Linked DNA regions of Drosophila melanogaster. The protein of the gene in region 1 interacts with the protein of each later gene in a pairwise test. Each region holds a gene or a part of one and is shown on either strand. Other genes may lie near its edges. The genes, in order: beta-Spec and nst.

What was found.
Region 2: the proteins of beta-Spec (region 1) and nst interact in a two-hybrid assay, tested with the Drosophila melanogaster proteins (one large-scale study listed by BioGRID).

What each region holds. Positions count from the first base shown.
Region 1 is NC_004354.4:17,655,211-17,660,467, forward strand, and holds the start of beta-Spec (beta spectrin), read left to right. Parts: upstream 1-2,161; 5' UTR 2,162-2,323; exon of another isoform or gene 2,324-2,327; intron 2,328-5,257. Other genes in the region: IntS2 (integrator 2), read right to left, coding at 1-248, 573-1,388. UniProt on the Drosophila melanogaster protein: Spectrin is the major constituent of the cytoskeletal network underlying the erythrocyte plasma membrane. It associates with band 4.1 and actin to form the cytoskeletal superstructure of the erythrocyte plasma membrane.
Region 2 is NT_037436.4:12,526,684-12,532,370, forward strand, and holds nst (nesthocker), read right to left. Parts: upstream 3,489-5,687; 5' UTR 3,353-3,488; coding exon 3,252-3,352; intron 2,566-3,251; coding exon 1,119-2,565; intron 1,050-1,118; coding exon 948-1,049; 3' UTR 532-947; downstream 1-531. Other genes in the region: Tsf2 (transferrin 2), read right to left, coding at 4,065-5,123, 5,190-5,354, 5,418-5,687.

The DNA.
Region 1 (5,257 bases):
TCGTCGTTGAACTTCAGGCCACCGATGCCGCGCAGGGCACAGTACAGACGCAGCAGCACCGCGCCCTGCAGATTGAAGTCGCGCAGCTCCGCCGCATTGGTCGTCGTTTGAATCACCTTCTGTAGCAGCTCCACGCGCACCAGATTCAGTGCGTCCCCCTTCCGCTTCTGGCTGGAGCGGATGTAAGCGGCGAACCAGGAGCGCAGATTCTGGTCATTGCCCAGCAGCAGGCCCGTGAGGAAGGCTATCTGTGGGGAGTGGTTGAAGTTTGCATTGTTATCTCATTATTCGTAAATATTGTCATACGTCCAAATAAGATTCAATCGCTCTAGCGAATTAGAGCGAGATAGCTAAGCAACATTTTCTCGCTTTTGCTTTTGCTTAACACATGTTACACAAAAATAAGCAGAACTCCAAATGAATGGTACTCCAAACAAAAAAGATCAATCAACAAAATATGATCAAAAAACATTTCTTATGTACGTTAAATTTAAATGAAATGCAAAGAATTTCCTAACGATTATAGTGTTGTGGTAAATCTGCACCTTACTGGTCAATATTACCCTACTCACCAGATCCTCGGGATGCTTGAGCGTGAGCTTAAGCATAAACGACGGCACCTTCAGCATATCCACGCACATGGACCTGTTGGCCAGCGCCTGGGAGGGATTCATCTCGCTGAGCCCCATGAGCAGCATTAACCGGTGCTTGCCATCGCTGCCATCCTCGTCGCAATTGGCGATCACATGGGACACAACGTCGCGATAGCAATCCGGAAAGTTGGCGACCAGTGCGCAGATGATGCGATGTCCGTTGGGCACATGGACAAGGGCGTCCGTTAGCTCCAGTATGTTCAGCAGGGAGGGCAGCTCGGCGAGAGCAATGCACAGAATGTCGACCACCTCCTCCAGATAGATGCCGTCGTCCAGCATCTCCGAATGGGCGGCCGGTTTCTGCTCGGAGACCTGCTGCTGCAGATTGAAGATCTCGGAGAGCACCACGCGCACCTTGCGCGCCACATCCGCCCGCTCAAAGCCCAGTGCGATGCCCGACTGGAGGCCGTACTCGTGTTGCTGTCCCTCGAAGAAGGCCGACTTCTGGCGGGCCTGCAGCTCCTTCTTCAGCTCATTCTCCAGCTCATGGTAGTTGACTTGCAGGTAGGAGACGATGCTGTTCACCACCTCGATGCCGATGAGCACGGCCAGGATCTCTTTGCGCGACTCCATCGACGATTCGGTGTTGTCCAGTGGCGATAGCAGGCTCATCCGCACCAGCGAGGGCAGCACGGGCCGAATCTCCGCCTCCGGATAGCTGGCCAGCAGGGTGATGTCCAGATTCTGCATGGCGCAGAAAACGCGCGGCGATACATCGTACATCCTCACCGGCATTTTGTCCTCGTCGTCGTTGTCGTTGCGTTCCAACTTGTTGCACCCGGCAATGCTCGTGTGCTCGGTTGTCCCGCTCTATTGGCCTGGCCGGCGGGGTGTCCGTGCTGGAGATGCCGGCGCGGGTCTGCTTTAATCTCGGCGATCTGTAGTTGGGGCAGGGAATGCCGGAGAATCCGAGAATCCACTGCGATCCGCATCCAAAAAATCAACACACGTCAGTGTGGCCAGTTGGAGAGGCTGCAAATATACCAGCAATTACTACATTTTATTATTTTATTATTATAAAAATACTATACTGCTCTCATAGGTGAAGGTTAACAAAGAGATGCGCAGCTAAAGAAAAATATTAACAATTATTGCAAGAGGCTAACAACTATTAGTACTATTAAGTTAGTAAAATCTTTACTGTTATTATTAGCAATAAGGCTTATATTCTCCCAAAAAGCCAACATATTAAAAAAAGTTAAATATAAATAAGTTATGTTTGTATATAAGCATTTCTGTAACGAAAATCTTAGGAAAATAAGAACATTTTGGTTCTGATAAAAATTTAATTAATATTATTTAAATAGCTCGAAGTAATAGAGTACATGTGGCGTAAACAATTGTTTATGTAATATTAGGTTATACAAATATGAAGGAATATTTAAGTTAAATAATATATAAAAATCTTAAGTTCCACCGTTTTGGCTAATTTATAGCCAGATCATGTGGCACGGCCACACTGCGCAGTAGGCGTTTTTTAGCGCCTTCTCGCGCTGGTTCACTTCGTTCACTCGTTCGCAACGCGATGTTTTGAATACATACATTTTTTCCATTCTCGCCAAGTGAAGTTCATCCGCCAGACCGAAGATTTTTAGTTGAACGTGCTAAATCTATGAAATTAACTGTGTTTTATGAATCAATTAGGGCGAGCGGAGCTGCAAAATTATCGAGTAGGTAAGTGAAAGTCGCCGCAGTGCAGTAAAAACGGCGCGAAATTCGAAACGCAAGCGGTCGAACGGGGAAAATGTGAAATAGACCAACGCCCAAGTGAATAGGCCACGAAAAAGGAGCCACCAATAAAAGGCAGAAGTGGCAAAAGAGAGCAAAAAGTATCTAACGAATGTGTGAGCGACTCTTACTCTTGGTGTGCCTGTGTGTGTGTTTTTGGTTTGAGAATTAGAAGTGTGCTAAAATATGAAAAGCAAGTGATTTCTCGCATACATTTCTACGTACATAATAAAAACATCATCGATTAAAATTGCCTGCTAACTCATATATTTCGACGCTGTCGCCGTCGCTGCCGGCGTCGCTGTCTCTGCCACCGATGATGACATCATTCGGTTTTCGTTGAGAGCGCGTAGCGTGCGTGAGTGTGTGTGTATGTTTGTTCGAGTAATCGAATTGGACGAGTGTAGTTCGCATTTTTTTTTTTATTTTTTAAATTACTTGGTGTAAATGTGCCTGAATGGCAGGACCGAAACTCTAGAGCTGTGAATTAAACGCATGAATGACATGTTGCTGTGCAAGAAGAAGAAGCGCAAGCCTTAAGTAACGTTTGCGTCAGTTGTTCGTTCCGTTGGTGATAAAAAGCGAAGAACACGGCTATCGCCTAATCGGAGATATATATATATATATACATGTGTATCATACGTTGAGGTTCCGTGTGCTTGTGAGTTTTATGAAATACAAGCGGTGCGCTCTTTTTTCTTCCCCGTAGATACGCATACGCCTATGCACTTGGCTGAAATACAGTTACGTGCTCACCAACACATCGGCTAAAAATAACACACACTCCCCATTTCCCATTTCCCTTGCACCCCGCTCTTCTCACCCACCCGGCCCTCTGAGGTCACGAGTTGAAGTTTCATTTCGAAGTTACGAGTTAAAAGATATAAATATACTGAGCTGCACTTGCCCAATGTTTGTTTGCTTATGTGTTTGTTTGTGCTTCACCTTGTCGCTGATGTTGTTGCATTGTTGTTGTTTATGACAAATCACACACGTACAGTTGTAAACACAACACACACACCCGCACACAAACCTACAAACATACAGGCATTCAATCAATTGATCGCCGAAAACTCATTAACTTGCTCATAAATGGCAGGGAAAACTGGTTTTTCCTTAGCAAAGCCTCAGCTTTGGTGGTGGTTTCATTTCCAAGTTTCCAAAGTTGAACTCTTGGCCTGTTTAATTGAACTCGCAGTTGCACACACGCCCCGCTCTCTCTCTTCCGCTCACACTGTGTCTCTCTTCATCGCTCTCTGTGATGAACTCACACTGGAAACAAGAGGATCGGATCGGCCATCATAATTAAGTCTAGAAAGCACCAACAATTGAAGGTGGTAAGGTGGGGTGGGTGGTTGGGGTGTGTAAGGGGAAGAGAGCTAGCCCGTGAGAGCGTCTTGTGCAGTTTCCACCCCTCTATCCCTTGCTCACTTCCACTTCCAGCACTCCTACTCTAACTGCACCACCTTCCAGATACAGATATATAGATACAATAGTACTCTCCCTCTTTCTCTTTCTCCTCTCTCCATCTCTATCTATCGCTCTGCGCTCCAGTTTTGTTGTTGCTCGCTCTCGCTCTCTCAAAGTTTTAAGCTTCGTTTTAATAAAAATATTACGTAATACTAAGATAGAAGCTGCTGCGTGCGTGTGCGTGTGTGCTGATTTTGCTTTTGTTTGTTTTAACAATTCTCGCTCGCACTATGGTTCTTGATGTTCTTCATTTTGGGTGTTGTTGTCGCGGTGCTCTCATAAAACTTAGTACAAATGAAATCAGCAGCTTAGTTAATTGTGTAAGCGAGAAGAGGAAGAGCGAAGAACGAAGAGTAGAGGAGGGCGATAACGAAGCGATGGGAAAAAGTTATGTTTGCTGCTTTTGTTGTTGTTGTGTGCGTAGAAGGGAATGACCCCGGCACCTGTGCAAACGCGAATGTATATAAAGGTCAAAGGACATTAGCACAAAAACCCACTGTTATACACAGCAAAAGGGGCCTGATTCAATCAGTGATTCTATTTTTGTCCTAGGTCGGCAAGCTTATATTACTTAATTCCATTAATCAAGCAATTAAATTGTTATTCTAATCGAGTTGCGGTCATTCATTAAAGAATTCATTATTCATCTTACAAATAATTTTCAAAAATATCATACTGAATTGCATTTACTGTAAATAAAATATTGTGAATGAATAAAAGTTGAAAACATGAACTGACATAATATTTCTAATAATTTACTAAAATTTTGTAGAGGCAGTATTTTATTTGGGGAAATTTTGAGTTCTGAATTAAGTACTGTGTTCTCCTAATTTGTAATGTGAAAGCCGCGGAGAAAGTGCGGCAATAAAAAAACAAAAAAATATGTCAAGTGGAAAAAGTACAGCCCAAGTACTTCGCCCATTTTCATTGCAACCTAAAAGCTTGCAAAAGTGTGAAAAACGCTGCGATGTGTGAAACCGAATGAATTTTCGAGGGCCAACTGCCGTGTGAATAGGTCGTAATTTCAAATCGTCGGCTACGTCGATAAAAAACCAGTGAAATACTAGTATACAAGCCCATGTAAATGAGTGATAGACATACGTGTGTCCCGTAAAACAAAAAGCTCGCCGATGGAAAAATGGAAACTGAATGGGCCCAGCATGAATATGATTTATGAAAATGTGAAATGTGCGATGTGTGTTCACAGTTGAGGTCATAAAGATAGCAGCGAACTTTAGCATTCAAGCTAAAACTTATTAGCTACGACGTTATATACTTTTTGTGCCTTTTTATTGTTAGTCTAATTATAAAAAAAAGAGCAAGTATTTATAGTTATAAAATCAATAACAAGAATTTGTTTAATGCACCTCTTTGAGGGCCAACAGTAAACTATTTGTCAATGAATG
Region 2 (5,687 bases), on another chromosome or scaffold:
GTGACAGCACGGCAATCAGACGGTGTGACCGGCTGAGTTTTAGACGAGTAAACCATCCGGCATGCGAAAATATACTTTTAATACCATTTGCATAGATATACCGAGTATTAATAATATTCAAGTAAAACTTTTTTATAAACAATTGCTAAATTAGTTAGCTAAATTAGATAACTTTCGAACTACGAACAGTTAACATTCAATAACTCAACTCGACTTTTGAACGTATGCTTTAATTAACACAAGTATAACAGTTTTGAAGTATTTGCTTACATTGTAACAGTTAACAGTAGTCCTTATCAATTACTGTCCTACATGTCTCCGCTACTGACCGCCAGATGGCGCGTTTCAATTCTGCCAGCTCCATTAACATTTATTAAAATGTTAAGTTTAAAAATAAAAGTTGGCAAAATTTTAATTTATTTGCCGGGACAGTGATTTAAATTTGCCATAAATTGTGCGTACAGCATAGTAAATTCCAAATGAAGTGAAAACTGATTTATATTCGACCTAAAGTAAAAGGATCTTTAGATTGTTTAAAAAATACTTTTATAGAAAATAGCAATACAAACTTGATTAGGTTCATTAATCTCTACTATCAATTCTTTTATAATTTCAATAGTTACCGCTAGCAGCTCAACAAAAAAATCAACGTAGCGGTTGCATTTTCATTAAATTCTTCAATTACAAAATAGCGAAGGACATAAAATTGCAACTTTCACAATGTACATATGTATAAATAAACTTGAAAAGAACTTTATAAATAATGGCAAAAAATATGTCATCTTTAGAACACAAAAGACAGTGAACATTTGCAGAATAAATGCGTTTGAGAGTTAAGTTGTTTTTTTTTTAAGTTATTGAGCACCTTAGAGTAAAGAGATTTATTGCTCCATCCAGGATCTGTGTCAATTGTCGATTCCCGTGAGAGGTTAGTTCGTCATTCCGCTCTACAGGTGGGCACTGCTGTTGGGCTTCGTCAATGGGGGGCCAACTCCGCCGGCCAGTTTCTGGACCAGCAGACCCACTTCGTAGGCAAGATTATCGGTGTCCTGTCGTAAAAAAAAGATAGTAAGTAGAGTGTTTTGATCTAGTGCTAAGAGTTAACTTATAAGCCTTACCTCTTTGGTGGCTGCTTCGGCATAGACGCGCACCACATCCTCGGTGCCCGAGGGGCGAACGAAGGAGCGTCCCCGCTTGTATTTCGCCACCACCTGGTTGATTTCCGTCTGCAGACCTTCGGGCTTTACGCACACGCGTTCCGCATCCGTCGTCTCGATGACATTGCGATCCTGCACCTTCACCTTTAGCTGTCGGTTGGGCAGATCGTTGTACGACGAGATCCAATCCTGGACATCCCAGCCCTTGTGATTTAGGATTGTTTCCACCAGCAGCATGTCGGATATGGCATCGCCCACGGTCTCGTTGATAAGATCGATGAGCAGCAGCAACGTCTTGGCACTCTCCTTAGTTTGGGCCACCTGGGCAATCGTCGCCTTAGCATTGTCACTGAACACAATCGTTCCGTGGCCATTCGCCTCGAAGTAAACACCAATGTCGTACTCCAAGGCCTTGTGGTGCAGGTGCTTCACGCCCGTGGGTACGCACGAAACGGGAAACTTCAGCTGGTCCACTATGTAGTCCGTGGATGCACCATTGGCGTAGGCAGTTTGCACCAGGCCCAGCCGTAGGCTAATCTCGGATTGTGTGACCAGTTCCATGAGATAGCCGGCGATTAGGGTGGCTATGCGATCGCCATCGAGCAGATGGAACTCACCCTTGTCGTCGGTAAAGAAGTACACCACCCGATCGGCATCGCCATCCACGCTGACGCATCTCGTGTACGGCTTCACATCCTCGGGCATGGATTTCGGCGGACTTTGCTGCACCTTCACGTAGTCGGCGCCGCAGTCCTCGTTGATCTTGCCGACACCGATGCCCTGATTAATGACCGTCACGTTGAGGGTGCCCTTCATGCGCTTGATGAACTGCAGCATCTTGCGCGCACCCACACCGTTGGCACCATCGTAGATGATGCTATTGCGATAGTTGCCGTTCTCCAGGCGCCCGTTGCGCAGCAGTTCGAATGCCTTGATCAGCTTGTCGTAGTAACCCTCCTCGGTGGGCTTGCCGTATGCCTCCTTGGTATTCGCCGCCACCACGAAGTAGTGCAGCATGGGTGTGGTCACAATGCCGTACTCCTTGACGTTACCCTTTAGCGCTATCACGCCATCGGCCACCGCTTTCAGCAGCCGCGGACTGTGGTATCTGTTGTCCATGCCCACAAACACCTGGGAACTGGTCGTCACATCGATATTGTTGTCCTTTATGATCTTGGCCACCTGCTGCTCCAGCTCCTGGTCGCTGACGTTGACCAGATCGGTGGCTATCGCCTCCCAGCTGGCCTCCAGCATCTCGCCCTTGGGATCGACCAGCTTCACTCCGTTGTCCGGCTCCGGATTGTGCGATGCCGTGATCATCACACCGATGACGGAGCCTCCGCGATACCGGGAACGCAGGGTGGCCAGAACGCCCATGCGGAACATCACGCTGTCCAGGAACTCAGCCCTAAAAAAAAAATGCGGAGTTATTACATCAGGATTTTGTTTAGATACAAAAGTATCTTTTAGCTTGTATTTTGGAGTTGGAAAATGTTTTGTACCTAATGTTGTTTGTTTATATGTGTGTTATCACTTTAGCTATCTATTTTATCTTCGCTGGATTGATAAGCCTATAGAAGCACTGTGTATTGCTCATTTTAGGCGTTGCAATTGCTTTTATCAGTAGGTGTGTCATGGAAACTTTGTTATCTGGCTGTAAAGTGGTTAGAAAATAAGGGCGCGGAAACCACAAACTATGTAATCAAATACTTAGTTGGTTCATTTTTCACAAATAACAAGTTATTAATCATTGAGATTTGAAAATATTGCAACTTGCACATGTGGCACTAGTTCGCTGCCCGCGACTGTGCGTCAGTATGTATGCACATATGCACATGCACGCACACTTACGCACATACAGGCAGACATAACGGCGAAAGAAGGGCATGTCCATTGATAAAAGGTGAACAATATCTAAAAATAAACGCCAAATTCCAACATCACAGCCCTGCAACCGCCCATTTATCAAAAAAAAAAAAAAACCACCAACAATCGCCGTGTGCTAATCAAATGCGCCAACGTGTGCATCGTGTGGGTGTGTTAGCATAATGATTATGATGATTATTAAGATCGTTAATGGAGGCAACTACTCACTTGCCGCGAAAGCCAGCTGTTCCATATTGGATGGTCTCCTTGGAGGTCTTTGGGTACATCTCGCGGGCGAAGGCGTAGACGGTGCGCAGGTTAATAGACATCTTGCGATACTCGAGGGCGGTGCCACTGGTCCAGAGCGAGGTGAAAGGTTCCGTCCGGTTTTTCCGGACTTTCGAAATTTAACAATTCCACAGATGTGTGCAGGCGGGTGTGACCGTCGTTTCGCGGCACTGTTCCACCCTTGCTTATGCGGCCAAGCGGTCACACTGCGCTGAAACTTGTAACTACGCTATTTTCTTTAATTTCAAACATTTTACTGGCTTTATAAACAATACAGAGTGTTTTAAGGTTAAATGCAATATTTACCAGCGTAAATTTCAATAACATCTATGTTTCAAAGCGATGTTAGCGCACATATTCAATTTGAATTTGGCGGCTACAATTGCGGTCAAGATATTAGGATTCTTCAAATGATACTAATTCAAAATAAGCAAAATAACTCCTTTATCTAGTTATTTTATTTGTATACTTACATAAGCGGTTGTAAAAGATTCGGCTTACATCTCCTAGGTACATTTTTTGGACGGTCTTAGTTGGTATGTACACAAACAAATACTATAATAAGGCACAGGACTTTATAAATTATAAACTATAGCCTTCAACAGATATTTTTCGGCTAGTTAGAGTTTCATTTTCGGACGGAAGGGATTTCACATTTAACTTAATCATATTTGGAATGTAAAAATGTTGATATGTTTTCTCTTTGTGCTAGAGATGCTTGTAGAATTCTGAAATCTAAGTGAGTCTAGTGGCTTAGAGCATTGCAACCAGCGAACCCACGAGGAGCAGGCCCACGGATAATGCCAACTGGGAGGCACCAGCATAGCAGTCGGTGATGCGGCGTGCTCGCATAAAATCGCTGCCCAAATAGGCATCATACCTGCGCTTATTGGGCGGAATTACTTGCAGCTGCCGCGTGGCGTCCTGGAAGATCAGATCATAGTGCCCGATCGGCGAGGAGAACATGCTGAAACTGAAGGCGTCCACTTCCTTGCGACCGTACAGTTGTTGGGCATAGGTCAGCAGATTGATGTAGGCATTCATCTGGGTCTCGTTGTAGTTGACTCCGCCGCGGGTGACCACAGCATTGGCCTTAACCTTGCCCAGATTGCAGCGCTTGTAGTCCTGGATCTCGGCACGAGTACCATCCGTGCAGAGCAGCTCAAAGTCATCGTTTAGGGCATTCCTGGCCCACCATTCCTTGCGTTTGCCGCCCGTGCTTTCCATCACCGTGGTGTGCTTCATGAAGGCCACGTGACCGCCGCCCTCGACGAGGCAACGGAATGCACCCGTGTGCCCGTAGTATTCCTCGGAGGCATCGCGACGACAATAGCGATAGCTAGTTCCATGACACAGATCGCACATGCTGTCGTAGGGCACACCGGTGTTGTACTCATTGCTAATGGCACCCGGCACGCACGACTTGGTGAAGTACTCCGCGGCAGCTCGAACCGAATCGCATCCGTAGGGACGAATCCAGCCGTTCGAGATGAAAAGCGCCATCGGATATGTCCAGCCAGCGGCGGTGTTAATGCCCGTATGGCAGGTATTCTTACCCTTCAGGTAAGTTAGCTCCGTATCGGGATCATCCTCCTTGGCCACGGCAACCACATAATACTCGGGCTCGCCCAGATTGTACACCTCCGACATGAAGGGCACCAGGTCGTAGTTGAGGCCACCAGTGTAGACATCGCCGGCATCGAAAACGGAGATGTCTGCTTTGCCCGCTTCGATGAACTGCATGCAGTTGATGTGGGAGTGCATTTTCTTGCAGATGAGTTCTGGTTTCAGGAGGTGAGCTTTCAAGGCAGTCTAAAAGTGTTTTTGTAAAGGATCATCAACTCATCTTGCTATCCATATATTCACTCTTCAACTCACCCTCATCTTGATGCATTTATCAAGCTCATTCTCCGAAGTCACGCAAAGCGTCATCGCTGGAACTGGACACTCACGGATGCCGTAGATAAAGTTAATGGCAGGGCCTAGGTACTTGGTAAATGACTGATCATCTTCGGGAATCACGGTTAGAGCGCGACTAGAATCCTGTCACAAAACAATTGAATGTTAAGTATGTATTTCGGATCACGGAAAATATGATCCACTTACCTGGAACAGCAAATTTGGCTTGCCATAGCGCTTCGACTCGAAGATGCGGAACTTCTCATAGAGTATGGAAGTGTTCGTGCCGTCCTGCTGGTTTCTTTCCTCTGCAAAACTGCTGTCCAATCGTTCGCTGCGATACTGATCGTATTGATTCTGCGTTCTGTACGGATCATTATTATCGAACTGGCCATAGGCATTCTGATCGTTGATGTTGTTGCGGCTGTTGAAGCTTTGTCCTCCCTGCCTGCTCTGATCATCACGTGTGCCATCGGA